Pelodiscus sinensis: one gene and its partners. The protein of the gene in region 4 binds, or shares a complex with, the protein of the main gene of each other region. Links are inferred from orthologs where the notes say so. Each region holds a gene or a part of one and is shown on either strand. Other genes may lie near its edges.

The links.
Region 1: SNRPD3 (region 4) and SART1 share a complex: the UniProt entries of both Homo sapiens proteins name them as parts of the U4/U6-U5 tri-snRNP complex. The link is inferred for Pelodiscus sinensis from reciprocal best matches to the Homo sapiens genes SNRPD3 and SART1.
Region 2: SNRPD3 (region 4) and SF3B2 share a complex: the UniProt entries of both Homo sapiens proteins name them as parts of the minor spliceosome. The link is inferred for Pelodiscus sinensis from reciprocal best matches to the Homo sapiens genes SNRPD3 and SF3B2.
Region 3: SNRPD3 (region 4) and SNIP1 share a complex: the UniProt entries of both Homo sapiens proteins name them as parts of the minor spliceosome. The link is inferred for Pelodiscus sinensis from reciprocal best matches to the Homo sapiens genes SNRPD3 and SNIP1.

Annotation. Positions count from the first base shown.
Region 1 is NC_134721.1:33,049,086-33,057,073, reverse strand, and holds the start of SART1 (U4/U6.U5 tri-snRNP-associated protein 1), read left to right. Parts: upstream 1-4,984; 5' UTR 4,985-5,046; coding exon 5,047-5,368; intron 5,369-7,968; coding exon 7,969-7,988. UniProt on the Homo sapiens protein: Plays a role in mRNA splicing as a component of the U4/U6-U5 tri-snRNP, one of the building blocks of the spliceosome. May also bind to DNA.
Region 2 is NC_134721.1:32,231,664-32,239,007, forward strand, and holds the start of SF3B2 (splicing factor 3B subunit 2), read right to left. Parts: upstream 3,013-7,344; 5' UTR 2,820-3,012; coding exon 2,705-2,819; intron 2,529-2,704; coding exon 2,482-2,528; intron 1,057-2,481; coding exon 979-1,056; intron 585-978; coding exon 333-584; intron 1-332. UniProt on the Homo sapiens protein: Component of the 17S U2 SnRNP complex of the spliceosome, a large ribonucleoprotein complex that removes introns from transcribed pre-mRNAs.
Region 3 is NC_134735.1:9,846,406-9,853,998, forward strand, and holds the start of SNIP1 (smad nuclear-interacting protein 1), read right to left. Parts: upstream 3,010-7,593; 5' UTR 2,893-3,009; coding exon 2,717-2,892; intron 2,110-2,716; coding exon 2,007-2,109; intron 1-2,006. Other genes in the region: DNALI1 (axonemal dynein light intermediate polypeptide 1), read left to right, coding at 3,462-3,542, 4,076-4,215, 5,268-5,437, 6,813-6,991, 7,387-7,551. UniProt on the Homo sapiens protein: Required for pre-mRNA splicing as component of the spliceosome. As a component of the minor spliceosome, involved in the splicing of U12-type introns in pre-mRNAs. Down-regulates NF-kappa-B signaling by competing with RELA for CREBBP/EP300 binding.
Region 4 is NC_134725.1:6,973,804-6,981,205, forward strand, and holds the start of SNRPD3 (small nuclear ribonucleoprotein Sm D3), read right to left. Parts: upstream 3,014-7,402; 5' UTR 2,990-3,013; coding exon of another isoform or gene 2,944-2,989; 5' UTR 2,875-2,943; exon of another isoform or gene 2,869-2,874; intron 558-2,868; 5' UTR 534-557; coding exon 408-533; intron 1-407. Other genes in the region: protein GUCD1, read left to right, coding at 3,766-3,826. UniProt on the Homo sapiens protein: Plays a role in pre-mRNA splicing as a core component of the spliceosomal U1, U2, U4 and U5 small nuclear ribonucleoproteins (snRNPs), the building blocks of the spliceosome.

The DNA of each region.
Region 1 (7,988 bases), on a different chromosome or scaffold from region 4:
CCACTATTAATGGGATTTCTCTTTGGGTATGTCTACACTTGCCCCCTACTTCCAAGTAGGGAGGCAAATGAAGCATATTGAAGTCGCAAATCAAGCCCAGGATTTAAATATCCCGCGCTTGATTTGCATGTTCCCAGCCAGTCGCCATTTTAGAAATTCACTAGCCCGGAGTAACTGCCCGCGTCTACACGCGGCAGTGAAACGGGAGTCCGATTTAAAGCCCTAGCTCAAATTAGCTGGTATTCCTCCTGCAATGAGGTTTACCAGCTAATTTGAATTAGGGGCTTTAAATCGGACTCCCGTTTCACTGCCGCGTGTAGATGCGGGCAGTTACTCCACGATAGTGAATTTCTAAAATGGCGACTGGCTGGGAACATGCAAATCAAGCGCGGGATATTTAAATCCCGGGCTTGATTTGCAACTTCGGTGTGCTTCATTTGCCTCCCTACTTCGAAGTAGGGGGCAAGTGCAGACATACCCTTTGTGTATAGATCTATTTATAAAGAAGAGAAGGGGTATGTCATTCAAATTATTCCCCACCTCTGTTGTGGTGTGAAGAAGAAATTATATAACTAACCCCCCAAGTACAATAGCATGTTCCCCTGTTACGAAGGCAGGACCTCAACAATAAGTTTGGCACAATATGAACTTATTACCAAAATGTCACTTTAGTATTAGTATTAGTATTAGTATTAGTATTAGTATTATTAAAGTGTCTAAAACACTGACTTTTCAACCTGTGATATGTGGGTCCCTGGGGTCCTCAGAGTGTGTCTAAGATTGCCAAAAGGGTCTGTGGCTGCATTTGAAAATGTTTAGAAGTCCACAAATGAAAAAAGGTTGAAAACCTCTACTCTAAAAAAATGACACTTAATTATGGTATTTCCTATAACAGAATTAATTCAGAATAAAACTGAGCATGATCTGGGTGTGGTGGCAGCAATATAAAGGGGTTTCTGAATGTCCCTTCTTGTCCACAATGTTATCAATCCCTGTGTACAGCTTCACTGATGTACTGGAGTCATTGAAGTTATTGAATTGGGAATAAGTGAATTTGGGATGATATTTCCTTTTAATAAACTTTCTCTCTGAAAATGACTGTCTGGTAAATATACACCAATCCAAGTTTACCATCATCTCAAAGGGCAAGATCATCTATCTGAGAAAAATCTCCTTTAGGAAAAATTTTCAGAATGGTATCAGTGTCACAGTCTCTCCCGCCACCATACTTTATGAAAATTTGCTTATGAGAATACATAACTCAAAGATAGGGTTGCCAGGTGTCCAGTTTTGAACCAGACAGTCCAGTATTTCACTTTCTGTCCGGGAAACAAATTGAGAAAATATTGGACATATAAATGTCTGGTATTTTCTAATTATGTTCTTATTATTATCATGAGTATCAGTACGTAGTTGCATACTGCCTAGCTGGTAGACATACTCATGCAGAACGCAACTATGCAGTAGAGAGGAGGGGGGCAGGGGTGGGATGGAATCCCCAGGGCCAGACTTGCCCGTGTGACCCGCCGAGACTGTGCGCAGGATGGGCAGCACCCTGGGATCTGCGTGTGCCTGGGCCAGCCCCACTCCCCGGCAGCCGGTTCCCAATCCTCCCATTCCCCCCTTCCCGGCCACCCCCGCTCCCCTCTCAGACGGTCCCTCCCCCCGATCTGAGATCAAGTATGTCTGGTATTTTTTTTAAACCATCTGGTAACCCTACTCAAAGATGTTTTATGCAAAATAAATAATGTGACATGTAATTTTAAAGTTTGTAATCCGCTGAAATTGTATATCCTATTTTTGGGTTTGTATCATTCTTGTATGTGGATCTGTTAATTCTAAATGTGTTAAAAAGGATCATTACTGATGCTCTGGAAACGTAATGACTCAGCTCTCAAACTAACGATCTGTGAATAGCCTTGTTTGTCCTGTGAGTCCAAACTATGGTTGATCCTAGACAGATATGTGGCCAGGACACTTGAGGCTGAAACCCATTTTGGATCTGGTACTTTTCCACTTAAGGTGAGAAAAGTTTGAATTGAGCACAAAGAATTCCTGCCTTGGGCAAAAGGAATATGGGCCAGGGCAAAGAATAGGGCAGTTGCCAGATGCCAGGAGACTCAGCAATTACCTAAGATGCCCGCTGGAAATATCTAGGACTGAACAGGGGGAAAGGATTGGGCCCATAATAGCAGGCTGCTTAGCTTGTGAAAGAAATGTTTAGATCAATTGTTTTAGGGTAAGAATTCACATGCAACACATTTCTTAGTATATCAGAATTAGCTGGGTTTTTTTTTATTTTAACTTTGTAACTAACTTTGATCTGTTTTCACTTGCAACCATTTAAATCTTACTATTTGTACTTAATTAAAAACATCTACGTTTATTACCAAGCCCAGTGTAAATAACTGTTACCTGGGGGATTGCAACTATATTCATATCTCTCTTTCATTGATAAAGTGGGCGGGCATCTTTACAAGTTTTCTCTGTGTAAAACTTTTACACAGGGGAAGACGAATTTGTTTGGGGTTTTGGTTCCTTTTGGGGGTTGGTTTTCTTGGTGCTAAGCCCTTATAACTGACTCTTCCCAGAGCTAAATTAGTTCAGTGTCAGTTTTGCTCTGCAGGGTGGGGCAGGAACCCCAATTCTGTGCCTTTTTTGGGGGAAACCAGAGCTTCTGGTCAAGCAAGACAGGGTGGTGAAGAGCCCCAGAAGGCAGGAAAGTGGGCATTATTGACATGATCAGCACACTAGGGGACAACCTCAAAGGGACGTCTGTAATCTAACCCATCACAATCAGATCTTGGTTTACTGGAGATATACACAATCCTTTTAATTTATTCCCAAGTCCAGAAATAATATTTTAGTTCAAGAATTTCTAACTATAAATCTGGAAGATAATTATCAACATCGGTGCACAAAACAGTGACAGGATTAGTAAAGAGATCCATAGTAGAGTTATCAATCCTAAAATTTTCTCAAACAGTGAAGAGTCACAGTGTAGCAAAAGGCAAATCCTTCTCTTGTACATATGTTAAGATGAAACACAATATTGATGAGGAAATCCAAGTCACTTATCTAGTCTTTGTCTTCAGTAAGTTTGTCATTGTCATTGTCATTGAGTTTATCCCTCTTTTCCAAAAAAGTTAGCACTGGCTTTCCATATCTCAGATTTTTTTGTGATCCTTTCCCTTTGACAGCCAATGAACATTCCAGTGGAGCACTAGCTCTTCCTGCAAAGCAATCCAGTGGGATATTTTGTGTTCATGGCTACATAGATTTATGCCAAATGCCACTCAAAATCAAACTTTTTTCATAGGGCTATAGTGTCACACAGTAACCCTATAGATTTAGACTCTTTTCCTTCTATAAACAAGAACGGGTTTTCCCAAGCCATGTTAAATTCTTTCCTTGCAACAGCATTGTCATAGATTTGTTTGGATGTGCTGGGCTTACTAAACAATACAGTTAAGTAGCTAGCTGTACAGAGTTCAAAGGCCTCACAGAACTATTATAAATCATGAGATGGATGAGATGGTTGGGCCTGGACTAAGGATGTTAAATATCAAGTAATTTACTAGTTGAGTAGTGGATGGAATTTTCATTGAATACTCCACTAGTTGATAGGCACTTCCACATTCCTCCTTTGAAATGTACAAGAGCCCCTGCTGGGGTACTCTGTGTGCAGCCTGGGGACAGCAGGAAGTCCCGCTGACTCTGGGCTGCACAAGGATATCAGCTTTAAAAATGCGCAAAAGTCCCCAGTGGAGGCTTTTGTGCATTTCAAAGCAGAAGCACCTGCATGGAGCCTAAGGTCAGCGGCAGACTCAGCGGTACGCCTAGAGGGCAGAGTTTTTCTGGGATACCAGAGGTATCCCAGAAAAGCTCTGCTGCATCCAAGCAATGCATCTGCTTTTAAAAAAAAATTTCAGAAAAGCAGATGCATTTTTTGGCATCCCTGTAAACCTGGTTCTGTGAGGAAGAAGGGATGTTCCAAAAGAGGCTTTTTTCCTGACATTTGGCCTGCTGTAGACGGGCCAATTTTCAGAAAAGCCTCTTTCTGAAGAAAAGTGGGAAGAAAAGTGCAATTTGAATATCTTTTGCTGTTAGAACTTGGTAGTGTAGACGCAGCTTCAGAGTCCACCACTGACCTCAGACTCCATGCTGCGCCACCTCTTTGAAATGCCATGCAGAGGCATGCCCCTCTGGCTGACCCCGAGCTTCATGCAAATGCCACCATGGTGCTTCAAAGGGGCAGTACTGCATGGAGCCCCGGGGCAGCTGTGTGCGACACTGCTTTAAAACGATGTGGCGTTTCAAAGGTGCAGTGCCGCACAGGTGAGCTTGGGATCAGCTGTGCAGTGCTGCCCCTTTGACAGAGCAGCACCGCACAGAGCCCATGTATGAGCCCTGTGCAGCATTGTCACTTTGAAGTGTCCACCCCTTTCTTCCTCCCCCCCTTTGCTGCCTCTGTCAAGGGGAGGGGGAGGGAATTAACTAGTCGACTGGACTATCTGATAGGCATTTGCTTATCAGAGAGTCAACTAGTCCTTAACATCCTTAGCCTGGACTCCATGGGAGCTAAAGGCCTTTATTTATTGGGGTTTTAAAAATTCTTTGACACTGGGATGCCTGCCACACCCTGCAATGTCTGCCAAGGGCAGCTAGAGCCACAGAGCGTCCGCCCCGCGTGATGTAACGAGGTAGAGAAATATGTGTCCTCCCCCTCCACTGGTAACTGCACATCCCAGTTGCCTGGGGGCAAAGACGAACTAGGGGACAACTTCAGCCAAACAGGAAACACACCCTCTTGACACGGAGGTAATAGCCTTGTAAACAGGAAGTGACGTACAAGTATACGGGCATTAGACAGGTCTGAACAGGAAGTAGCAACAAACGAGAAGTGACGTACATATAAACAGGAAGTAACCCATAAATTATCCGGAATTCGTGCGCAATGAGCCTGGACGAGCATGTAATGACCCGGAAGCACTGTAGCGCCGATCCCGGAAGTTTCGTGTTGCGTCGGTGCCATTTTGCGTCTCCATGGGCTCCTCGAAGAAGCACCGGGAGCGGGGAGAGACCGGGGGCTCTGAGGAGCAGCAGCCGCCGCCACCGCCGCCGCCCCCTGCTGCCTCCTCTTCCTCCTCCCGGCACCGGGAGCACAAGAAGCACAAGCACCGCAGCGGCGCGTCGGGCGAGCGGCGCGGGAAGCGCAGCCGGAGCCGCGGGGAGCGGAGCAGCCGGCGGAGCGGGGGAGAGGAGGCGGCCCGTGGCAGCCATGGCCGGGCCGGGGACAGGGGTGCCCAGGAAGCCGAGGGTCCCCGGCGGATCAAGCGGGAGAAGCGCGACGAGGGATACGAGGCGGGTCAGCGTCCGGGCAGGGGAATGGGGAGGCTATGGGACGAGCAGCCCGAGAGATTGAGACGCTTTTGAGGGGAGGACACCGGGATTCTGGGAAAGGGCCCAAAGGGAAGAAGTGTGGGGTAGAGGAGGAGGCAGCCATTGAGGGGCTATTGATGGCCGAGAGAGGATGGGCTGTCAGTGAGTGTCCGAGAGAGAGGAATTTGCGTGGGGGTGCTCTCGGGTTCAGCAGGCGATTATGGGAGTTAAAGATTGGCGTGTGACTATGGGGCTTGAAGAAGCGTTATGGTCAAGGCTCTGCGGCCCAGGGAGGGGATTGGTGTGGTAATGAGCTCAGGAATGAGTAGAGTAGTAGGCTTGGCGAGAGGTGCTCTGGGATGGCAAGTGTCTGGAGGTGTGAAGGTGGCTATGAGAGTTTGGATTGGCTGTGAGGTTTTATGGCGGGGACTGGCTGCTGGGGAGATGTTATGGAGGTCACGTTTTGGGAATGGGATAGGTGGGGGATCAGTGCATGTGCACCCTATGTCGTGACACTGAGGCATGAGCTTTAGGAGGGCAGGGGGCATGACTTCGTTGGGGGGTATTGATGAGGCATTCTAATCTGTGATGGTTTAGTGTTGGGCATGTGAAGTTTCATGAGATGGAGGAGGAGGAGTCATCAGGGGCTGTCCTGGTGGAGGTGGGGCATGAGGTTTAGGGAAAATGTAGACTTGCTGACTTAAGGGGTGGTGAGGTGAGTTTGCAGAAGGAAGAGGAGTGAAAGAGTAAAGCAAGGAGTGTGAACATGCACATACGTGTAACTTTTCATAAATGGGTTATGAAAGGATTTTGGAGCAGATGAAGTCAGGACACGTCAAGGCTGTGTCTACACTGGGCCGCTTATTCCGGAAAATCAGCCGCTTTTCCGGAATAAGCTGCGAGCTGTCTACACTGGCCCTTGAATTTCCAGAAAAGCAACGACGCTCTACTGTAAAAAATCAGCTGCTATTCCGGAAAAACTATTCTGTTCCCGCACGGGCATAAGTCCTTATTCCGGAACACTGTTCCAGAAAAGGGCCAGTGTAGACAGCCCAGTAGTCTTTTCCAGAAAAAAGCCCCGATCGCGAAAATGGCGATTGGGGCTCTTTTCCGGAAAAGCGCGTCTACATTGGCCACAGACGCTTTTCTGGAAAAAGGGCTTTTCTGGAAAAGCAGCCTGCCAATGTAGACGCTCCTTTTCTGGAAAAACTGAAAACGGAATAGTATTCCGTTTTAAGCAGTTCTGGAAATTCATGCCAGTGTAGACACAGCCCTAATGTAAAGGGGCTTCTTTGGTTGGTTATGGAGCATCTATGTATAAAGTGCCCTGAAAAGGTGTCTTAATCCATAACTCTAAGCAATAACTGTAATGACCTATGATTTGGATAGACCTTTTTTCTGGCAGTATCGGTTTAGTACATCCTGTTTTACGGTACCATATTCTGTTGTCATGGTATCTAGCCACTGACCTTTGATGCTCCAGAATAGTGCAAGCTATTCAACAGAATAACAGCTTGGTTCCCTCTGTGGGGATCTTTATTCCAGGTAATGGGCAGTACTATAGGAGACATGCTGAATTTTCAGGTTACTGTAAAGTGTGTCTGTCTTCACAGCATTGTTCATTATAAAAAGTGTATATGTCTGAGCTGGGTGGGGTCTTTGGTAAATGCTATGCAGGAGGTCACACTAGTTGATCAGAGTGGACTAGGGATGTCAACGTATAGTCAACTATATGATTAACCGATAAGCCTAGACTTATTGGTTAATCCTGTCAACTGCACACATTTTCCCCTCCCCCTTGCTGCCTCTGTATCTAAGGAGCTGATACAGAGCGGGAGCTGATAGAGGCAGCAGTGAGGTGGGGTGGGCTAGAGCTGATGTGCATAGGGAGCCAGCTTTCCAGCCAGCTCCCTGCACCTATCGGCTCTATGTACTTGCCTCCTACAGAGGTAGGGGGAAGTAGGGCAGGCAGGAGCCAGTGCTGGGAGGAGCCAGCAAGTCCCCCCCCCCCCCCCGCCCCGCTTATCAGAGGCAGCAGCGCAGGGGGTGGGGCAGGGGAGGCTTCCTCAAAGCAGCCTCTGTTTCTGGCAGGCTGAGCTCCCGGTGAACAGAGGCTGTTCCACATCCCATGGAGCAGCCTCTGTCTGTGGTGAGCCTGGACCTGCCACGGGCAAAGGTTGCTTTGCGGAAGCAGCCCGTCTGCAGGGGATCCATCCCACAGAGCAGCTTCTGTCTGTGAGGAGCTTGGACTCCCCATGGGCAGGGATGCTGCTGCCCCACACTGCTGCCTCTGCATTAGGGCAGCAGGCAGCTGGTTCACAAGAGGAGCTGGTACAGAAGCAAGACCTTGGGATGGCAGAGGCCTCCCTGGGAGTGGGTCTGGGAGTGCACTGGCTGCTGGCCCCAACCCTGGGGACTGTTGAATAGTCATGTAATCACTAACATTTCATGCCGTTACGTGACTATTTAATTGCAGGATAGCTAACATCCCTAGAGTGAACCCTTCTGGCTTTAACAAAATCCTTGTTTGAATACATTTTACTTTTATCTTGTTTACAAACATCTCTCTGATTTATCTCTAAACAGCTGCTAGCTCAAAGGCCAGC
Region 2 (7,344 bases), on a different chromosome or scaffold from region 4:
GGGGGATTCAAGGAGGCCAAATGGCAAAACAGTAGCTAAGATGCAACCAAGATGCCAGGATTAAAAAGCCCAGGCTCTTGACAAACAAAGTGGCTGTTCTACATAACCTAGCAGATATCCTGCAGCACAAGGCTAACCACACTGCAGCACTCACTGCCCCCCAGGTCTCTGCAGCACAGCACCTGCTCACACCACACAAGGGCACTTAGGTCAGCACTGAGACAGGGGAGAGCCAAAGACGGAACCTCTACAGCACAGCACCCCATAAGCCACCCTGGAGCCAGCACTGAAGGACAAAACCACTACCCCACTGCCTGCAGTACAGCTCTTACCTGTTTAGCCCTCTCTTCTTGCTGCATTAGCATGGCAGCCTGCTGCTGCGCCAGCTTCAGACGATCTTCCTCTGAGAGCGCTGAAGGGTCCACGCTCTGCATGCGGAGGGGGGGCCCCATACCTGGGGGAGGTGGAGGGGGCCCCACGGCCATAGGGAAGTTGAGGCTGATGCCAGGGGGAGGCGGTGGGGGTGGTGGAGGCTGCATGGGTGGCATCCCCATGGGGGGTGGGGGCAAGGGGATCCCAGAGAGCTATAAATGAGAGAAGAGATGACGAGGTAAAGACCAACACAGAGTGTGAAGTATCACAGATTATTTAAACCAAGATCCATCACCCAGCACCGAGTTGCTGCACCCGAATGCAAATGCAGCAGTACCAGCTCAAGAGCCACTCAGCACTGGTGAGCATGAGCAGGAAGCTCCTGGATCCCAGAAAGAGTGGGATGGATTTATGAAAGTAGAACAGTATTGCTCTTCAGGATGCTGGGGTTAGCAACAGCTCCTGGCAGGAAGTACCAACTGAAGTCAGTCACCCAGACAGCCTCCTCTCAACATAGGAAATCTACAGCAAGACAGCCAGTCCCTAGGGAAGCCCTTGTGGCTTAGCCAGGCCAAGATTCCTCCTCTCTATGACCCCTTCACTCACCTGTCCGGGTATTGGTGGCGGGGTGGGTTTGTCACCGTCATCTCCCCTGAGAGACGGCCTGCTCAGCACGATGCCAGTCTGTGGAGGGAGGACACAATAAATATAGCTGCAAAGCAAGTGAAAGTCTGTCCATTGGGGAGCTTCTCTTAGAGGCCTCACTGACATGCTCTGGGTCAGGAAAGGAAATCCAGGCCCTGGGGAGACCAACTCTCCATCACCACAAGGACAGACAATAAGGTGGAGCTCTCCAAGCAAGATGGAACCTGCAGATGCTGCACAAAGACCTTCACAACACAAAATACCACAACCAAGACAGAAATCCAGATGGGGATACTGATACCAAGAAGGCCCAGGGCCATGTGGCACAGAGATGGGGATAGAAATAAAACCACCCCCAGTAGTCCAAACATCAGCAGCCCATCTCCCACCAGTGTGCAGAACAGTTGTCCTGATTACCAGGGCTCGACTATCTATGTAATCTACTCGCCATGGGCGAGTAGATTACATCCCGGAAGAGCTGGATTCGGGCGATCTGCAGCTCGGTGAGCCCTGCTGATTACTATCAACATCCACAGACATACTGGGGTGGAGAGCAGAGGCCACAACAGAGCACTTGCCATTATCTCTCTGCTGTTGGGCGGGAGAGTGGGCTAGTCAAACCCTGCTGTACCATGTGACAGGAAGGAATATAGTAGCCCAGATGGAGCCTTAAGGACCCTCACTAGGACAGAGCACCCTCGTGGCATCTGAACAGTGATGTCTATGTCACTGACGTCCTCCACCTCACACAGCTATAGCACCCACACGTTCCAGTCTTATGAGGAAATTCACAATTTCCTTTAAGTCATTAGCACCCATGATGGTTCAATCAGGGGATGGTCACAACCCAGCTTACAGTTGAAGCTGAGTGGTACCTCTCTGGCCCTTGTTAACACACTATCTGAACACCTTCCACTTGTTAATTTGTTTATTCTTACAGGATGGCAGCACTATTAGCCCAATGATACAAATGCCAAACTAAGGGCCAAAGACTCTGGGTGATTCACCTAAGGTCTCCCAGGGAGTCTGTAGCAGAGTAGGGACTAGAGCCCAGGTCTCCTGAGCCGCAGCTGATGCCCTAACCACTGCATCAGTCTTCACTACCTAATGCTGCTCATTTGCTCTAATGCCAGGGAATGCAGGCTGCTTGCCTCTTGGTTCCTAGTCAATGTCACTAATCACAAGGCTGTGGAGTGTGTTTACTGCTCACACTGTGCATGTGGCTTTGGGGCAGTGAAGGTGGAAGACCCCTCTACCATACCCACAGGTCGTGTGACACCACAGTGCACGCCAGGCAGTAAAGTCTCCCACTGCAGGTTGCCAGCCCTAGGTTCGGGGCTCCCTTTAGATCCCTTTCAGCTAGAGGAGAGGGGTGGGGGAGTTAGGGCTGGCGCTAATGGCCCGGCCAAGGGGAGGCCATGTCTGGTGGCAGAGCGGGTCTCCTCCCCCATGCGAGTAACTCACCTGCAGCGTGTAGGTCTGCAGCCTCTCCACCAGCTCCTCGCGGCTGCCTGGAGGATACAGATGAAGCGTCAGAGCCACCCTGAGCCACCACCAGCCGTTTGCCCCGCCCGCCCCTGCCCCCCGGCAGCGCCAAGCAACGCCCCCCCCCCCCCCGCAGCCCCCGGTATCTCCCGCCCCATTCCTAAGCACCGCCCTCGCCTGAGCGCCCCCCGCGGGGCTGCACCTTGAACCGGGGCCCCGATCTCCGCCAGCTTGGCCTGCAGCTCGGCGGGCGCCCAAGCCCCGTAGGCCGGCAGCGGCAGCTCCCCCTTCGGCGGCTCCGGGTGCTCGGTCGCCATCTTCCCGCCCGGTCGGACCCTGAACAGCCGCCGTAGGCGACGTCGTCATACGTCACCACGCGGCGGGCGGCCCGCCGCTAAACAGAAGAAGCGCTGCGTTCCGGCAATGTACGCCGCGGCGGCGCATCCAGCGTAACGAACGTCAACACGCACAGCCTCGCGCGCCGCCTTCTCGGTATCGTAGACCTTAGCGCCTCCGCAGCAAGCAGCATCAGCGCGCACGTGGCCAGTAAAAAGAAACGAGTTACCGCGCTGTCCTCTGGGAGTTGTAGTTCTAAGGCAAGGAGGCGCTGACCCCGCCCACCTCAAAGAGCTTTGCATGCTGGGAATTGTAGTTCTGAAGAGATGGAGTGGCCAGTGTGGGACTAGCCATTTTCCAGATGGTTTCAACAAAAATACCGGACACATTTTACATTACACCACACTCTACATTACATCTTCTTTAGAAAATACCAGACATTTATATTTTCTCATCTCATAGAATCATAGAATACTAGGACTGGAAGGGATCTCGAGAGTCATCGAGTCCAGTCCCCGACTACTGTCTAGACCAGTGGTCACCAACCAGTAGATCCGGATCTACTGGTAGATCTTGGAGCCTCGGACAGGGGATCCTGACTGGTTTGGGCAAGAAGCTATCAAGTGCCGGCACTTCAGCTGCCCTCCACCCCCACTGCTGCCCTTCTCCTGCCGTTTGTCTTGGAGCTGTCTCCTCAAGAGCCTCCTGCTTACTGGGCAGGGGAGGGAAAGGAGGATGCTTATGTCAGGGAGCCCCCTCTCCCACTCTGTGTCCTATCTCCAAGGGCATAGAGGGGGCACAACAAGTCTTGGGATGGAGTTTGCCGGCTGCTTTTGCTTGGAATGGAGTTTGCTGGCCGAGCAGGGTCAGGGCAGGGGTGAGCTTGCCTTATACCCACTGCACCACCACCCAGGAGCCACCTGAGGTAAGCAGGGCCCAGCTGGAGCCCACATCCTGAAACCCTGCCCCAGTCATGAACCCCCTCCTACACCTTAAGCCCCTGCCCTAGCCCGGAGCACTGCATCCAAATGCCCTGCCGGAGCCTGCACCTAGAACCCTTTCCAGCATCCCAACTGCCTGCCCCAAGCTCAGCTCAGAGCCCCTCTTACACTCCAAATCCCTTAATTCAAGTCCAGAGCCTACACCCCTACCCTCTGTCCCAGACTGGTGAAAGTGAGGGTGAAAGTGAGCGGGGAGGGCGGGGCCTCAGAGAAGGGGCACAAAGGAGGCGGGGCAAGGGTATTTGGGTGTGATGTAGATCTTGGATTGCACTTAAATTAAAAAAGTGATCTCGTGCTTAAAAAGGTTGGAGACCACTGGTCTAGACCATCCCTGATAGAATTTATCTATCCTACTCTTAAATATTTCCAGAGATGGAGATTCCACAACGACCCTAGGCAATTTATTCCAGTGTTTCACCACCCTGACAGTTAGGAAGTTTTTCTAATGTCCAACCTAAACCTCCCTTGCTGCAGTTTAAGCCCATTGCTTCTTGTTCTATTCTCAGAGGCCAGGAAGAACAATTTTTCTCCTTCCTCCTTGTGACACCCTTTTAGATATCTGAAAACTGCTATCATGTCCCCCCTCAGTCTTCATCTTTCCAAACTAAACAAGCCCAATTCTTTCAGTCTTCCTTCATAGGTCATGTTCTCTGGACCTTTAATCATTCTTGTTGCTCTTCTCTGGACCTTCTCCAATTTCTCCACATCTTTCCTGAAATGTGGTGCCCAGAACTGGACACAATACTCCAACTGAGGCCTAATCAGTGAAGAGTAGAGAGGAAGAATGACTTCTCATGTCTTGCTCACAACACACCTGTTAATGCATCCTAGAATCATGTTTGCTTTTTTTGCAACAGCGTCACACTCTTGACACATATTTAGCTTGTGGTCCACTATAACCCCTAGATCTCTTTCTGCCGTATTCCTTCCTAGACAGTCACTTCCCATTCTATATGTGTGAAACTGATTGTTCCTTCCTAAGTGGAGCACTTTGTATTTGTCCTTATTTAACTTCATCCTGTTTACCCGAGACCATTTCTCCAATTTGTCCAGATCATTTTGGATGATGACCCTATCCTCCAAAGCAGTTGCAGCCCCTCCCAGCTTGGTATCATCTGCAATCTTAATAAGCATACTTTCTATGCCAATATCTAAATCGTCGATGAAGATATTGAACAGAACCGGTCCCAAAACAGACCTCTGCGGAACCCCACTTGTTATAGCTTTCAAGCAGGATTGTGAACTGTTAATAACTACTCTCTGAGAATGGTGATCCAGCCAGTTATGCACCCACCTTATAGTAGCCCCATCTAAGTTGTATTTGCCTAGTTTATTGATAAGAATATAATGCGAGACCGTATCAAATGCCTTGCTGAAGTCTAGGTATACTTGTCCAGCACTTCTCTCTTATCCACAAGATTTATTATCCTATCAAAGAAAGCTATCAGATTGGTTTGACATGATTTGTTCTTTACAAATCCATGCTGGCTGTTCCATATCACCTTATTATCTTCTAGATATTTGCAGATGAATTCCTTACTTACTTGCTGCATTATCTTTCCTGGCACAGAAGTTAAGCTGACTGGTCTATAGTTTCCCGGGTTGTTCTCATTTCCCTTTCATAGATGGGCACTATATTTGCCCTTTTCCAGTCTTCTGGAATCTCTCCCATCTTCCATGATTTTCCAAATTTTATATTTTCTCAATTTGTTTATTGAATAGAAAGCTCATATACTGGACTGTCCGGTTCAAAACCGGATACCTGGCAATCCTATGTGGGACTGCTCTGGGAGTGAGAGGGAAGCCTGTGTATTAAGAGCTGTGTAGCATCCGTGGGCGAGTAAACTGCTAAGCACCCAAAATGTTAACCCTTAACAGTTGATGCTTACTGGCTCCAGTTAACCAGTGGGGACTGCAACAGCTTCCTGCCTGCTGTGGGCAGGGGCTGCTCCACCCCAATAGGGCCCACACAGATAGGGGTAGCTCCAGCCCAGCTAGAGCAGCTCTTGTCTGCGGCAGGCCCAGGTGCATCACAGGCAGGGGCTGCTCCTGCCTGCAGCAGGGGCTGCACGGGCTCAGCCCAGCCCCCTTTAACTGGCTAAACATCGCATTTAACCAGTTAACCAATTAATCAGGATTTTACATCCCTATAAACTGCTAGATCTAAATACTGCCTAGTGTGTTCAGGGTTAAGCTTTAGCTTGTGCCCTTTTCTTTTGTTTTGTTTTGTTTTCTTTTCTTTCCTTTGATAACTAGCTCTGATCTCTCGTGCCTACCACTTATGATCACTGAAAATCTACCTTACTGTAGTTAATAAACCTACAACAGTGCGGTTTGGCTGAACAAGGCTACCGGAGCAAGATGGTACAGATGGTGTTCGAAGCTGGAAAGTTGTGGGGAATTGGCTGGAACCTGTCTATTGTTGGTTCCTGAGTGACTGACAGGAGCATTCATGTAACTCAGCGTGGGTATGGTCCTGTCCATGGAAGTCTGTGTACATGCAGTACCTACCAGAGGTTTGTGGCTTGCAAACGGCATCACAGTATAAGAGAGAGCCCAGGTTGATAGGGCAGAGGGCTCAGCAACATCACTGTTCAGGTTGCCCCTTGGGAACACTGTCACACCTACACACTAGTGGGGTGCCTTGGAAGCAACCAAGGAGGATATGTTTCACAAGGTGCTCCAATCCTCAGAGGAATAAAACAAGAAAGGATGTGGATGCATTGGAGAGGGTCCAGCGGAGGGCGACCAAAATGATTAGGGGGCTGGAGTGCATGACCTATAAGGAGTGACAGAGGGATTTGGGTTTGTATAGTCTGCAGAAGAGAAGAGTGAGGGGGGATTTGATAGCAACCTTCAACTGCCTGAAGGGAGGTTCCAAAGAGGCTGGAGAAAGGCTGTTCACAGTAGTGACGGATGGCAGAACCAGGAGCAATGGTCTCAAGTTACAGTAGGAGAGGTCTAAGTTGGATATTAGGAAAAACTATTTCACTAGGAGGGTGGTGAAGCACTGGAATGGGTTACCTAGGGAGGTGGTGGAATCTCCATCCCTAGAGGTTTTTAAAACAAAAGACAGAATTATGTAGCACTTTAAAGACTAACAAGATGGGCCCATGAAAGCTCATCACCTAATAAACCATCTTGTTAGTCTTTAAAGTGCTACATAGTTCTGTCTTTTGTTTCAGCTACGCCAGACTAACATGGCTGCATCTCTATCACTATTCTAGAGGTTTTTAAGTCTCTGCTTGACAAATCCCTGGCTGTATTGATTTAGTTGGGATTGGTCCTGCCTTGGGCAGGGGGCTGGACTTGATGATCTCCTGAGGTCTCTTCCAGCTCTATGAGTCTATGATTCTAAGAACACAGGGTGTGGAGAGAGACTTTAAAAGAAAACTATAAACAAGACAGACGGGAGATCCAGGAGCAAATTTTAATGAGCTAGAAACAGATAATAAAAGTGATGCAGAAGCAAGCAAACAGATGCAGCAGCCAATACAGAATTGTT
Region 3 (7,593 bases), on a different chromosome or scaffold from region 4:
GTTTTCAGTTACTTTCTTTTAAAAAGCAAAGGTTCTTGGCTTACATATAATTTACTAGTGCTTGGCTTATTTTAAATTATATATTACCACTGATATTAGGGTAGAACCCTGAACTCCCCACTGAGGATTATGCTGGGTTCTGTACAGGCAGCAAAAATAACTGTTGGCCAGGAAAGTTTAAAATCTAAAAATTAAATTAAAATATTTGCTATGCTCTTAACAATTTGGTCATTTCCTTACATGGAAAAATACCATCTTAAACCAAGTTTCTAAACTACTGCTGATATTACAGACCAATGTTTAGAACAAATTTTCCTAATACAGGTTTGACCTCCTTGGTCCACACCCTCAGGCATCTGAGTGGTCCTGAACCAGAGAGTTTGCCAGACCAGGGGAGATCAAGGCTCCCCTCCCCACTGTCAGCTCCACTTCGGCCCTTCTACTGGGTGTCAGCCCTGGCTGTTAGGCTGTTTCCCACCATGCTGGCCCCAGTGCTGTCAGTCCCAGCTAGAGTTGCATTCCCAGCCACATTGGCCCTACTGCGGCTGGCCCTGGCCAGAACTGAGCTCCTGACCCTGGCTGGCCTCTTGCTTCCAGCCGCTGGGACTCTTTGGTCCAGCAATATCTGTGGTCTGGTCGAACCAAGATTGTTGATGAGGATTTTAGAGGTTCAATCTACACTCAAACCACTTTAATATGGCAACCCTAGGAAACAGGTTTTGCTGGATTAAAGATTTTGTCAGCTCAAGGAAAGAATGCGGAAGATGGGAGCAGGGTTGTTACCTGGCACTCCCATGGGAGCAACAGGAAAAAGCCTCCAGCAGAATGCATCCCTGTACTGCTGTTTCCCCTAGCTGGGAAGGAGGGGGTACAACAGAGCTATTTCTGCCTCCACCTGCCAGGGTCCATATCATATTATGGGTGTTGCTGAATTAGAAACACCCCGAGCACAGAAATTATAGTGTATTTTGGTTATTCAGTCTTCTGCATGTTTCAACACATGCATAAAATCTTACTATGTAGCTGAACTCAATAGCCACTGTTTTCTAGACATTCCATTATGGAACCCACTTTGTAAAAGGTTACTCTCACGGTTTCATCTCACTTCCCAACATCTTTGTTTGCACAATTTCACCAAGAAAGGTATCACGGCCTACATGCATGAGCAGGTCTCGACAAATCATGTAATCTACTCACCCCCAGTGAGTAGATTACAAGCTGGCACAGCCAGCACCATGAGATCTGCGCATCCGCAGCTCGCAGAACCTCGCGGCTGGCGAGCAGGGCTCACCGCCGCTTGGCGAGCCCTGTGCATGAGTAACACTGTTGTATAGTGTTCTTCAACACTCAAGTTGGGAAAATAATCCCCAACAATCACTCAATTTTATGATTTAGGACATGTCTACACTAGGGATGTTAACTAATGTTTATTTGTGTAAATGTGTAACCACTAGATTTCTTAGTGGTTACATGTTTACACACCTGTCTCTCTCTCTGCCTGCATACCAGCCGCTGTGGGAAGCAGCAGGGGTGAGGAGGGCAGGTGGATCCCCAGGCACCAGCTCCCACCTTCCCCCCTCTCTGCCTCTGATACAGAGGCAGAAAAGGGGTGTGTGCACAAGTGTAGTTGTCAGGATTAACTTGGTTATTTGTGGAAATGGCTACATACTAACATCCATAGTCTACAGTATAACTGGTGTGGAAAAAAATGCCATCCCCTTGAGTGACAGAACTTTTTCTGGCCTTAGTAGTGTGCACAGCACTCCGTTGGTGGAAGTTCCTAAATGTCCAAATTATAATAAACGATAAAAATAATCAAATAATAAAAAAATAGGGTAATCAAGTGATAAATTAGTCATACCATCCTATTTAGATCGCGTTCCCACGTTAATCTAAGCAGACAGACAACTGGTTTCAACAGATGCCCACTGATTTCAAGTCATGCCTCAGTCATATAGCATAATTTTCAGTGCTAGGACATTAGTGCTTAATATCCAGCAAATTACCTGTTTTACTTTGACTACAATATGATGAGGGCTTTTACTTCTTTTACTTCTTGGAGACTTGCCTCTTTTAGCAGATGACTTGTTCTTTCTTTTTGCTGGTGACCTTTAAATATTCAAAAAAAAAAATCATGTTTTGGGTCCACAACCCACTCTTGCCCCAAGGAAAAAAGGAAAGGAAAAGGCTTGTGCAAAACACACCTGACAATTTAACCTTAATCTGTAACTACTACTGTCCTGTATTGTATCATAGAAGGATGAGGTGGTGGGGAAGGGTCTCCCAGTTGCAGTGTTCCCTTTAAGCTGTGAGCTTGGGCTGCAGCACAGAGGATTCAAATACCACCCAGCTGATTGGCAGAGGGCCCACAGCTACCCACAATGTAGCAGTGCACATCTGCACACGCTCCGATGCACACAAAATGTTGTTCTACACACGGAAGGAAAAACAATTGGGCCATTGCCCCGCTCTATGTATCTGGGGGCGGTGGACACCAACCGGTCTGAAGGGAAGAAGTGGGGGAGGAGGAGGAAACGCTGGGAGAAACCTTTGAGCGGGAGTGGGGAATCTCCGAGGGGGGCCGGGGAAGGGGGGGCTCTCCCCCGCGCGCCCTGAGTCTCCCACACAGCGTCCAGCGGAGCCGCAAGGACCGCACGAGACAGCGAGCGAGGCTCTCCACTCCCGCCATAGCGGGTTGAGCGCAGGCGGCTGATACCTGCTGCGGCCTTGGGCTGCTTGATGCGGCCGGGCCGGGCCCTGCTTCCGCTCGGCAGGCGGGGACTGGCTACCCCGGGCGGAGCGGGAGCGCCGGGGGCTCCGCTTCTCCCCCCCGTCTTCCTGCTCCTGTCGCCGCCGCTTCCGCCGCCGTCGCTCGGGCTCGGCCTCCTCCATGGCTACCGCCGGGACCCCACGAGCCGGGCTGCGGCCGCACGTCCCCGGCAAGCGGAAAAGCGGCGGCTGCGCAAGGCCCTTCCGCTCACAAAGAGTAAGCGAGAAGCCTAGTACTTCCGCTTCCGGGGCATCTGTGCCCGGCGCCCCGGAAGCACTCGTGCCAGGCAGGCCTGAGGGGTGTGCGCGCGGGGGGGGGGGAAGCAGGTGACGTGGGAGGCCTCGCGTGAATAACCCGGGCGTTGTGGAAACCAACGCGCTGTGTGAGGTGGCCTTGGGCGCGCGGCGCCTTCCTCAGCCGATCTGGCTGCTCTCAGCCTTGGCTGGGCTGAGGGAGTGGCCCGGCCTCGCCAGCCCTGAGTTCGCTTTTTACACTCTACGCATGCGCAGCTGGACCCGTTTTCCTCGCCACAGCCGGCACGGCGCGTGCGCGGTCCACTTTTCTCGCAGCCTGGGTCGAGCGCTGGCGGGCGGGGGCGCCTCGTGACGACGTGACACGGCGGAACGCGGCCCCGTTGTTGCCATGGTGACGGTACACGGCTTGCGGGGAGAGAGCGAGCCACGGAGCCGCCATGATCCCCCCGGCGGACTCGCTGCTCCGCTACGAGACCCCGGTGCTGGTGAGCCGCAACCCGGAGAAGCGCTCCCCGAAGGTAAAGGGGCTGCCGGGGGGCGAGCGAGCTGGGAGGGCATCGGGCGGCTGGTTGATGGGGGTGCGTGGGGAGGGGGTGGGGTGCGGGGGGAGGGGGGAGGGGGTGGGGGGGTGCATGGGGAGGGGGGAGGGGGGGGGGTGCATGGGGAGGGGGTGGGGGGGTGCATGGGGAGGGGGGAGGGGTTGGGGTGCATAGGGAGGGGGTGGGGGTGCATGGGGAAGCGGTACACGGGGACAGGATTGAGCTGGTGTTATGTGGAGGGCGGAGAAGGATGAGCGGGGGGGGCAGGGGGGGCTGGAGGTGGGGGGCGGGTTGAACTGGGGGCTCATGGGGAAAGAGGGATTATGGGGGGGGCCGGGAGAAATTTAAGTGATGGAGCATGTGAGAGACCTAAACTGGGAAATCTAGGGGTTATTCTGTTGGAGAGGGAATTGCATGAGATGAGGGCATGGGGAGCCTGTGTGGTTTCCCCACGCACCCTGGCTGAAACATGTGCCGTGCCTTTATAGCCCTGGTATGTTTCTTGTTTGCAGGCGCGTCCTTTGAAAGTGAGTCCTCAGCAGCCAGTGTCAACTGGACCTGTGCCGCCTCCTCCAAAACCCAAGACTACTCCTACAGCTGTAGATCCAACAAAACAGGCAGAAGAAATCTTAAATGCAATCCTGCCACCAAGGCAAGAAACTGCTCTTGCACCCTTTCACCATGGTCCCAGGAGAAGTCATCAGTGTGAAATTTTAAGGTTGGGGGCAGGCAGTGAGGGGCTCTGAATGTTAGGAGTCAGGGCATGTCACTATAAGGTGGAGCCACACGGTAGTCATCGATCCATCACTAGTAAAGATTCACTATATTGACTGTTGATCACTCTCCTGTTGACTCCGGTACTCTAGCAGAACAAGATGAATAAGGGGAGTCAATGGGAGACTTTTGAGTTGACTCCCCACACTGTGGACCCTATGGTAAGTAGATCTAAACGTCAATTTGAGCTATGCTGCTAATGTAACTCAAATTGAGTAGTTTAGATTGACCTGTCCCTTGTAGTGTAGACCTGCCCTCAGTGACTGTCACAAAATAGCGTTGGGGAGAGATTGGGAGATGGATTTCTAGCTAAATAAAATATTTGTTCCCGTCAGTGCATGTGGCTCATCTAATAGTTGGTGCTGACTGATTAGTGGTAGTTACATAATATGTTTTCTAATTTCCTCAATACCTATGAGGTAGTGAGTGGCCTTGATTAATTATACATCCGTTTCAAAAGTAATATAATCTAGAAATGTTTTCTGCTGTTTCAGATTACTACATGCAGTATCAGCCACAAAACAGCAGTCCCTAAGCCTTTTTAAGTCTTGTGTCTTGCCTGATGCCCATGTAGCATGCCTGGATATCTGAACACTGCCATTCTGAACAGTTAGCTATGTTTACTGTTATCTAAGTATCCTGTAGTTAAAAGTTCTTTACTTGCTATGTAAAATGCTATCAAATTCCTCTGTTGTTGAAATACCAGTTCAGTAGGGGTAATGAAGGATGTAAAGTTAGCATTTGTTTAGGGATCAGGACATTCAACAGAATCTGTGCTGACTTGATCTCTCGATTCTACTGACAATGGAAGCAGGAGAACATGCTTGCATTGCATGCTTTTGTGTACAAAATATGGGATTCCTTCAGTTTGTGGTGGAAATGAGAGCTCAAGCATATGCTGATTTAGTCTGTGCTGCTTTTGTGATGCAGAGAATGGGTGGAAGACAACCAGTTATGGATTCAGCAGGTGTCCACCACTCCCAGTACCCGAATGGATGTAGTTCATCTGCAGGAAGAGCTGGATCTCAAATTACAGCAAAGGCAGGCTCGAGAAACTGGGATTTGTCCTGTCCGCAGGGAACTCTACTCACAATGCTTTGGTCAGTGAATACATCTAGGTCCAAGATACTATAGCAAAAGGCTTGTTTGAAGGATACTATAATACTAGAAGTTTCTGAATAGCTCAGGACATGGGGAATGGGAAGTGGAGACTTCTATCTAACGTGTATGGATTCTTGTCCACCTTGGTCAGGAAGGAATAAGAGTCGTTACTAGTGTTCTCACTAAGATTTTCCAACCATGAGCAGAGTGAATTTTGGCTTGTGCACCAATACTGAGGTCATGTGCGCTGGTTTGGATGTGTGCCACTATGGCACCCAAGTTATTAACACACATGTTCCCAGCCTTCAGAGCAGAAACCCGCCCCTCCCCCCGCCATGTAGCATATCGTATTCCCAGTTGCTGGCGCAGACAGCCCTCTCCCCATGCGGCAGGTCCTGTTCCTGGCCCCAGCTGCCAGGTCCCAGCCCTCTGCCCCAGTGGCTCCCTCACCATGTCATCTCAGCCGGCCCCACCCACAGGAGCAGCCACCTGCTGCGTGAGTGCTGCTGTGAAGCTCTCCAGAGGAGGGGGATGAGGGAAGAATTTTGTGTGCATGGCCACACAGGCGCACACCTTAGCAGGAACTATGGTCATTACCATCCCATGTCTGTCTGTCTGACCTATTGATTTCAGTTCATTTCTTGGTGCAGAGATCCACATCAGAATTAACATAAGAAGGCTACTTTATGAAGTCTCAGTAAAGAACCCTCAGTCAGAATGGACACACATTTTCCTCTTTTGGTTTTAATGAGTCCCCTACAGTGCAGGGCTGAGACAGACTGGCAGAAGGAAGTGCATGTGGGAAAGCTTTCATTGTTACTAAAAATATTGTATTAGCCCTCTTGCATCTCTCACCACCATATATAGATGAAGCATGGTTGCCACATGCGTATTTCCTCTTAATTTTAGCTTGTCTACAGAACAGTATATTTTTAAAAATGTCTATATACAAGCTGATGCCGAGAAGGTGTCACTGTGGCAACAGGGCATTGAATAGTAAGCTGGGGTTGCATATTTGCATGGGAGGGAAAAATTCATTCAACCACACTTAGTTCATGCTCTAATAATTAGATTGTCATGTTAAATAAATTAAATATCTTGGTTACACCTTGTTACTCTTCTTGCTGTCACAGACCAACCATGGAGACTGGAGGAAGAAACCAGCCACTGGGTCAGAGAGATATATTAATATAATTAATTTTTTATTCATTAGCCATAGGAAACTTCAGGTCTACACTACCTTGTCTTGAACACCACAAATGTCATGGCCATAATTACGTTGCCAAGCACACTGACCCATGTCAAAATGTTTGTCTTGAAACCCGTGTAAACGTTCTCTCTCTCTGTTTACTGTTACACTTTTTTTATTTAAAGATGAACTCATCCGTGAGGTTACAATTAACTGTGCAGAGCGGGGACTATTGCTGCTTCGAGTCAGAGATGAAATCCGAATGACCATCGCTGCTTATCAGACACTGTATGAAAGTAGTGTTGCCTTTGGTATGAGGAAGGCATTACAGGCTGAACAGGGCAAATCTGACATGGAAAAGAGAGTAAGTGAGGCTGTAAACTCATAGTGTACCTATGATCTGGCTCAAAAATGTGCTTCTCATCTTCCTCATCCTGGCTCATTGGGATTTTCTCACATTTATTAGAGCACTCTGACAATTTCTTTTGCAAACAAAATCAACAAACAAAACCTTCACTATTTTCTGATTTGATCAATAAACTGCTTCAAAATATTGTTTACCTTTTTAAAAAAGTTTTCTAGTTCCACTGGGTGGCAGTAAAGATCAAAACACATCTTGCTGATTTCCTGAGGCTGCTTTAATGGACAAATTGTCGATTATCATTTTTTTCTTCAAAGATAGTAAAATTTATATCTTATATTTTAATTGTATTTAAAAACATAACAATGACTACCAGGCATACCTATGTTCTTTATAAGATTCTAGAATTAGAAGATGAAAAGCGAGAGTTGGAAAGACAAGTCAATGAGCAGAAAGCTAAATGTGAAGCTGTTGAAAAACGTGAAAGTGAAAGGCGGCAGGTAGAGGAGAAGAAACATGGTGAAGAGGTGCAGTTCTTGAAACGCACTAATCAGCAATTGAAGGTTAGTAAAGAACTCTGACTGCAGTGCCTTAGTAGGAAAAAA
Region 4 (7,402 bases):
AGTTTACAAAAGTAATTACACATTAGATTACAAAAGTAATTTCTCATGAGAAAAGTGAATGATTTGTTATTTGAACATAAAACTCTAGCTCAAAAAAAATCAATTAGAATTGAGCATGTAGCACTCAAGAGAAGCTGTTGAAATAATGAGCAAAATGCAATTTCCTCAAATTAGGCATAGAACCGAGTTCTGAAAAACGCATAAATTATATTAGGAACATTCCCTATATACCAAAAAGTATCAGCTGTCCCCTCTAGATCACAGGTGAGACTATTTCACTTTGGCAAAGCTACAGAGCATGATAACCCACCTTTCTCGTCTATTCTCAGATGTCAATTTTTAGTAAAGTTAAAAAGCAACAAAGAGGGACCTTTCCAAAAATGCATAATTCCTTTTCCCAGACATACCTGGCAGTTCATATTGTCCTCAGCCTCAATGAGTTTGCCACGGTAGACTTCCCCTGTATTCGTCTCGCATGTCACAATGTGGCCTTCTGCCTCATGCAGCACTTTGATTGGAACTCCGATGGACATCTTTGCAGTAGTACTTCTCTAAAACTAGGGGACACACACAAAAAAAAGCAGAAGAGCACAGTAAGTTTCTTTATCCAGAAACTTTGCCTACACAATTCAGATTTCTATAAAAGCTTTAATCCAGAGAATACAAAACTACTGGCTCCTGTTTTTTCCCCCCTATAAATTGAATGTCCTTGAAAAGTGTCAGCTTGCTCAAATAGAATTTTTGCCACCATTAACTATTCACAGAACAGGTCATCAGAATTAAGGCTTCTATACACATTGAACAGCTATATAAATGTCAAACCATTTTATTTTAAAGACCATGTTGGGTCTCAAAATCTTGGTAGCAAGGAAAGAAATGAGACATCTCCAAGTGCCATGGAAGATGGGGAAGAAAAAGTTCAAATTTTCTATATTTTCAGAAGAAACACTGAGGAACTTGAGGAGTTAGTCACAAAAGAGGGTTGAGAGGCTCTTTTCTATATCGTTTTAGTTACATCTACTCAACTCTTCTAACTTTGATGGTCTATACCAACAAAATGAAACTGGCTTAAGAATACCAAAGCAGAGAAATCAGCAATGCTAAGACACTAGCTTGCTACTAAAGAAAGGAAAATAATATTTTCTTTTAAAAACAACAAATAGTTCTGTGGCATCAGAGAAGTGCAGCTGATGAAGAGGGTCTAACCCACAAAAGCTCATGATACGAAAGTGCCACAGAACTACTTTTCTAAAGTTACAGATTAACATGGCTATGCCCCAGACTATTTTCCTTTAAGTTAAAGAAACTGATGCCTTCTTCAAGGAGTGAGTTGTGCCCACAAAAGCCCATGATACCATGTACATGTTTTGTTAGTCTGTAACAGGAAAAATTTAAAAAATATCAAATAGTTTAGAAGCACCTTAAAGACTAACTTGGCTACCCTTCTGTCTCTTATCATCCGGGAAAGAGGTTTCATAGCCATGTTAGTCCCAACACATTGGATAGAAAAGCAGTATCTTTATTAACAGAAGAAGAGCTCTATGTAGCAGGGATGTGAAAGTATAACAATATAGGCTGCAGGTAACCACTGAGGTTTTCAATGGCTATACATTTGCCCAATTACCTCTTTTTAAAAAAAAAAAAAAAACATCGCTACTATGTAGCTCATGAGCTTGTCTCCTTTACTAACTGAAGCTGGTAACAAAAGACATGACCTCTTTCAAATTTGAAAAAAAGGCTAAGCAGCTAGGAAAAAAGTATTCACCTAGTATCCTATGAAAAGGAATAGTGATAGAAATGTAGCTGTGTTAGTCTGGGGTAGCTGAAGCAAAATGCAGGACAATTAGCACTTTAAAGACTAACAAGATGGTTTATTAGATGATGAGCTTTCGTGGGCCAGACCCACTTCCTCAGATCAAATAGTGGAAGAAAGTAGTCACAACCATATATACCAAAGGAAACAATTAAAAAAAATGAACAAATATGAAAAGGACAAATCACATTGCAGAACAGGAGGGGGATGCGGGGGGGGGGGGGGGAAGGAAGGAAGGTAAGTGTCTGTGAATTGCTGATATTAAAGGTAGGGAGAGTGGGATGTTTGTGAGTTAATGGTATTACAGGTGATAATTGGGGAAACTGTCTTGGTAATGGGTGAGAAAGTTCAAAGTCTTGTTAAGTCCTTGTGAAAAGGATGTGTCAAAGCCACTGAGACGCTTTATGGCCCAATGCTGCAAATTCTTATTGATGCATTTATGGACTTCAAGTCAACTATTCATGTGAGCACAAATAATTAAGTAACGTGTCCTAGACCAGCAGGGGTGTTAGTTGACTACCTAATCAGCACAATCTTATGGGGTAGTTGAGTGGCGCATTGGCTGCTGGCTTACGAGGCAGCAAGTGGAGGGAGGGGGATAGGGAGGAAGAAGTGCAGCCAATGCTGGTGGGAGCCAGGCTGAAAGCCAGTGCCCACAGCACCATGTCTGCAGTGCCCCCTGCCTCCCCCAGCCCTGCTGCTGCCATCCAAGGCAGTGGGAAGGGGATCGAGAGGCTGCTCCATCCGCAGCCCCCGCCCCACGCGAGAGCCCCCCCCCCCCCCCCGGCGGCGACGCGGCTGCCTTGGCCGGGCCGGGCCCAGCTCCGCGCGGGGGGGTCAATCTCACTGCACGGGGCTTCCCACAGCCCAGCCAAGGGGCAGACCCGCCTAGAGGCGCGAACCCCCCCTCGGGAGTCACCGCGCGACGGGCCCGGCCGCTCCCACGCGGTCACAATGCCGGTGCGGGGGGGGGGGAGGGGAAGGAGCAGAGCCCCCCCCCCCCCAGGCCCGGCCGGCTCCCCGCACGCGGGGCTGGGTGGTTGCTCCCGCCCGCCACTTACGCTCGGCGAGGCACGTCTCCCTGCGGCGTGGGCTCCGCGTTAGCGCTCTTCAATGGCCGGCGTCCCACCATGCACCGCGCGCGCGGCCGGATGCGGAAGGGCCTGGCCGCCCCAAGTGAGCTCCGCCCCTCCCCCTCCAGTTCGACGGTTGCTGCGCGCACGCGGCCTCAGGCCTCGGCGCCCGGCCGCGAGCGTCCCGCCTGCCGGGGAAACCCCGCCCCCCCCCCCCCCCGCACGAGCCCGGGGGCGGGGCCGCGCGCGGCTGACAGTTGGGGGCGGGGCGGCCTGGCCCTGGTGAGCCGCGCCCGGCGCGGGGTGGGGGCGCCGCTCTCGCCGCCTCGTCCTCGCTCCCCCGCCGCGCCTGAGGGGCCGGGCCCGGCGCTGCAGCTCCCCGCCCGCCCCGGCCCGGCCCGGCGGCAGCGCCGGGACATGAGGGGGCCCCGCGGGGCCGCCCGCTGAGCGGCCCGGGCCCCTCCCGCCGCCATGAAAAGCCCCACGGAGGCCGCCGAGCCGCCCTCAGGTCAGTGTGTCCCGGGCTGGGCCGAGCGGCGCCCCGGGGCTCCGAGCCGCCTCCGAGCGGGGCGCGGCCCTTCCCCCCCCCCCCCCGCGGGGCGTGGGAGCCACGGACACGCCCCTCCCCCCGCGCGCGCGCCCTGTGGCGCGTGACCCCGCGGCCGCCGCCCCGAGCGCGGAAATCGCCCCGGGAGATCGGCCCCCCCCCCCCGGGGCTCGCCCGGCAGCGCGGGGCCCGGCGCACGAGACACCCCGGCTCTGCGGAGAGGGGGGCGCGGGATGTTGCGCGGGAGTGTCCGGCTGGGAATCGCTGGGAGGAGGGGCCCCGCTTTCCTGAGGGAAGGAGCGTCCAGTTCAAAGCCCTCACCCTTGAACTGAATGGTTGACCAGCCGCCCGCCCTGCACACAGGCAGGCCCCGCTGGAGCAGCCCTCTGCCTGGTAAGGCCTGGCCAGGACGGGACAACCCGCTGCGGCACTGTGAGCCTGACCCCTCTGCCACGGCAGGTAGCTGCTCCAGCTGGCGTTATCTAGTCATTCCAGTAAGCATGCAGTACAGCAATGCTTACCAGGAAACCAGTTACCCCTTTACTCCCTGGCTGTGTCTAGACGGGCCAGTTTCTCCGGATAATCCGCCGCTTTTCCGGAAAAACTTGCCAGCTGTCTACACTGGCCGCTTGAATTTCCACAAAAGCACTGACTTCCTACTGTCTGAAATCAGTGCTTCTTGCGGAAATATTATTCTGCTCCCATTCAGGCAAAAAGTCCCGCTTTTGCGCAAAAGGGCCAGTGTAGACAGCTCAGATTTTTTTCCCACAAAAAAGCCCCGATCGCAAAAACGGCGATTGGGGATTTTTTGCGGAAAAGCGCGTCTAGATTGGCACGGACTCAAAGTGCTTTTGCAGAAAAGCGTCTGTGCCAATCTAGATGCTTTGTTCCAAAAAAGCTTTTAACAGAAAACTTTTCCGTTAAAAGCATTTCCGGAAAATCATGCCAATCTAGACGCAGCCCCTATGTTGAACTGGATTCAATGTGAGAACTTGTATATAAATACCAGATAGGTATTTTCCAGCAGAACATTTTGGATTTTTGAATGTATAGTGAAAAGAATCCTGTATCATTCTGGAAAGATGGTAGTGCTCTATCACTGTGTGAAAATACCACTGTTCCAGGAACATATGGTCTGTCTCTACACTATGCGATCTCGCACAAAAGCAGCCATTCTGTGCAAACTTTGATGCCTGTCTACACTGGCCATGTGTTCTTGTGCAAGAAACTGATGTTCTAATGTATAAAATCAGGGCTTGTGCGAGAACTCTGACGCTCCCACTCAGGAGTAAGCCCTCTTGTGCAAAAGCTCTTCCAGAAAAGGCCAGTGTAGACAGGCAACATGAATTTCTTGCACAAGAAAGCCCTATGGTTAAAATGGCTATCAAGAGTTTTCTTGAGCAAGAGAGCATTTACACTGGCATGGATGCTCTTGCGCAAAAGCACATGCCAGTGTACATGCTCTCTTCTGGAAGAGCTTTTTCAGAGGAACTTTTCCGCAAAAGAGTTTGTGTGAGAGAATGCGCCAGTGTAGACGTAGCCAAGGTGTCTTTAACCAGCTACAGGCAGATCTTCAAGGATCTGTCTTCCATGTACTTGCAGGTCTGTCAGATCAGGATTACTGATTGTACCTGCCTAAGATCCATGTTGCTAAGGGTAGTGCTGTCTCCTAAATTAGTGGCTACATTTCATGGATCTGTCACACTGAGCATTTATCAAATTGGAGGTGACTTGCTGTTCAGTTTATTGTGGGGAGCATATTTTGTCACTTCATTTATCCTAAAACTGCTGGTAATCATTCTCATCTAGGGAGCTTGAAAAGTAATGTGAAGCTGGTGTGGCAAAGGGAGTGGAGGACAAGGCAGTATGGCTGGAAACGCAATAAATCAAAGGAAATTAGTTGACACAATAGGCTTGTTATTACTGTTTGAAATTTTTATAGAAGAAAATGTGTTCTCTTTTAGGGACCTAGTGGGGGTAAAGTGGTTAGTGGAAAATGAGATTAGTATAGTCCATCACCAGAAATTTGTGACAAATGATTCATAATTCCTAATGTGAGAGAACTTTGAGGATTAGCATTTCCTTTAGGATAATGAGTTAGCATGTTGATGTGTACTGGCCAGCCATAGACTAACTAAAGACACTTGATGTCCTTGGCAAGTACACTAGTTTTCAAAGCCACAAGGAAAAAGATGAGAAAGTGTAGGGTACATAGAAATCTGAGAAGCTGTGGAAGGAGACCCCAAAATCCATGTTGGCCTCTTTCTGCCAAAAGCATTTTGAGCATATCTTTCCTAGAAAATTACATCAAGTTAAAACACAACCTTGAGGAGTTGCTGATAACCATAACTAATTCACATGTTTAAGACCTCTTGTTCCTGTCTTTACACTGGTCTTTACACTAACTCTGAAGACACAGTTGACATCGCACTAACTCAACTTCTCCTACTGGAGCTCAGTGTAGTGTTCTCAGTGAGTCAAGTCCTCCTATTATTCCTGTTGATCACAGGCTCAATACTTTCTTGTGGCATGGTATGTTTTATTGTTGGATGAACGCTGTGTCTAGGCACATCTTTGATGGAGTTAGACTGCACTGAAAATTGCCACAGTTACAAAATCTGTTTAAATCCAGAGACTCCATTTCAGGCTCACCACAATAAAAGATGAAAACCTATTGCTTCTTCAACATGTCTCTTAGGTTTTTATTACCACTTCATCATCCTACAGAAGTTGTGACCAGGAATAGGTGGATCTGCCTAGTAAGAACTAAGAAGTTAATAAGGAATACAAGGATGACTTTGCTGCAGAACTGGCCAGACCTGTGACAGAGAAATAGTGTCAGATTAAACCAGACACTTAATAGTTAACTTACTTTAACAATTTGGAAATTTACCTCTTTTTTTAAAAAAAAAACTAAATTTTATGCTGAGAAACATAATCTGCTAATGGAACAAAATAACAAGTGTTTCTCAAGTGTCCCAGTACAGCACTTGAGTATGGTTGGTAGCAAGAGGACTTATAATACTAATGTGTGGAAGGATACCACATTTGGGCTAATTTAGAACATAAGAAAGGCTGTACTGGGTCAGACCAAAGGTCCATCTAGCCCAGTAGCCTGTCTGCCGACATTGGCCAGCACCAGGTGCCCCGGAGAGGGTGGACCAAAGACAATGATCAGCGAATTGTCTCCTGCCATCCTTCTCCAGCTTCTGACAAACGGAGGCCAGGGACACTACTTCTATCCCCTGGCTAATAGCCTTTTATGGATCTAACCTCCATGAAATTATTTAGCTTCTCTTTAAACTCTGTTATAGTCCTAGCTTTCACAGCCTCCTCTGGCAAGGAGTTCCACAGGTTGACTACACGCTGTGTGAAGAACTTTCTTTTATTAGTTCTAAACCTGCTACCCATTAATTTCATTTGGTGTCCTCTAGTTCTTCTATTATGGGAACTAATAAATAACTTTTCTTTATCTGCCCTCTCCACACCACTCATGATTTTATATACCTCTATCATATCCCCCCTCAGTCTCCTTTTTTCTAAACTGAAAAGTCTCAGTTGCTTTAACCTCTCTTCATATGGGATCCGTTCCAAACCCCTAATCATTTTAGTTGCCCTTTTCTGAACCCTTTCCAAGGCCAAAATATCTTTTTGAGGTGAGGAGACCACATCTGTACACAGTGTTCAAGATGTAGGCATATCATAGTTTTATACAGGGGCAGTAAGATATTCTGGGTCTTATTTTCTATCCCTTTCTTAATAATTCCTAGCATCCTATTTGCCTTTTTGACCGCCACTGCACACTGTGTGGAAGTTTTCAGAGAACTACCCACGATAACTCCAAGATCTCTTTCCTGACTTGTCATAGCCAAATTAGCCCCCATCATACTCTATGTATAGTTGGGGTTATTTTTCCCGATGTGCATTACTTTACATTTATCCACATTACATTTCATTTGCCATTTTGTT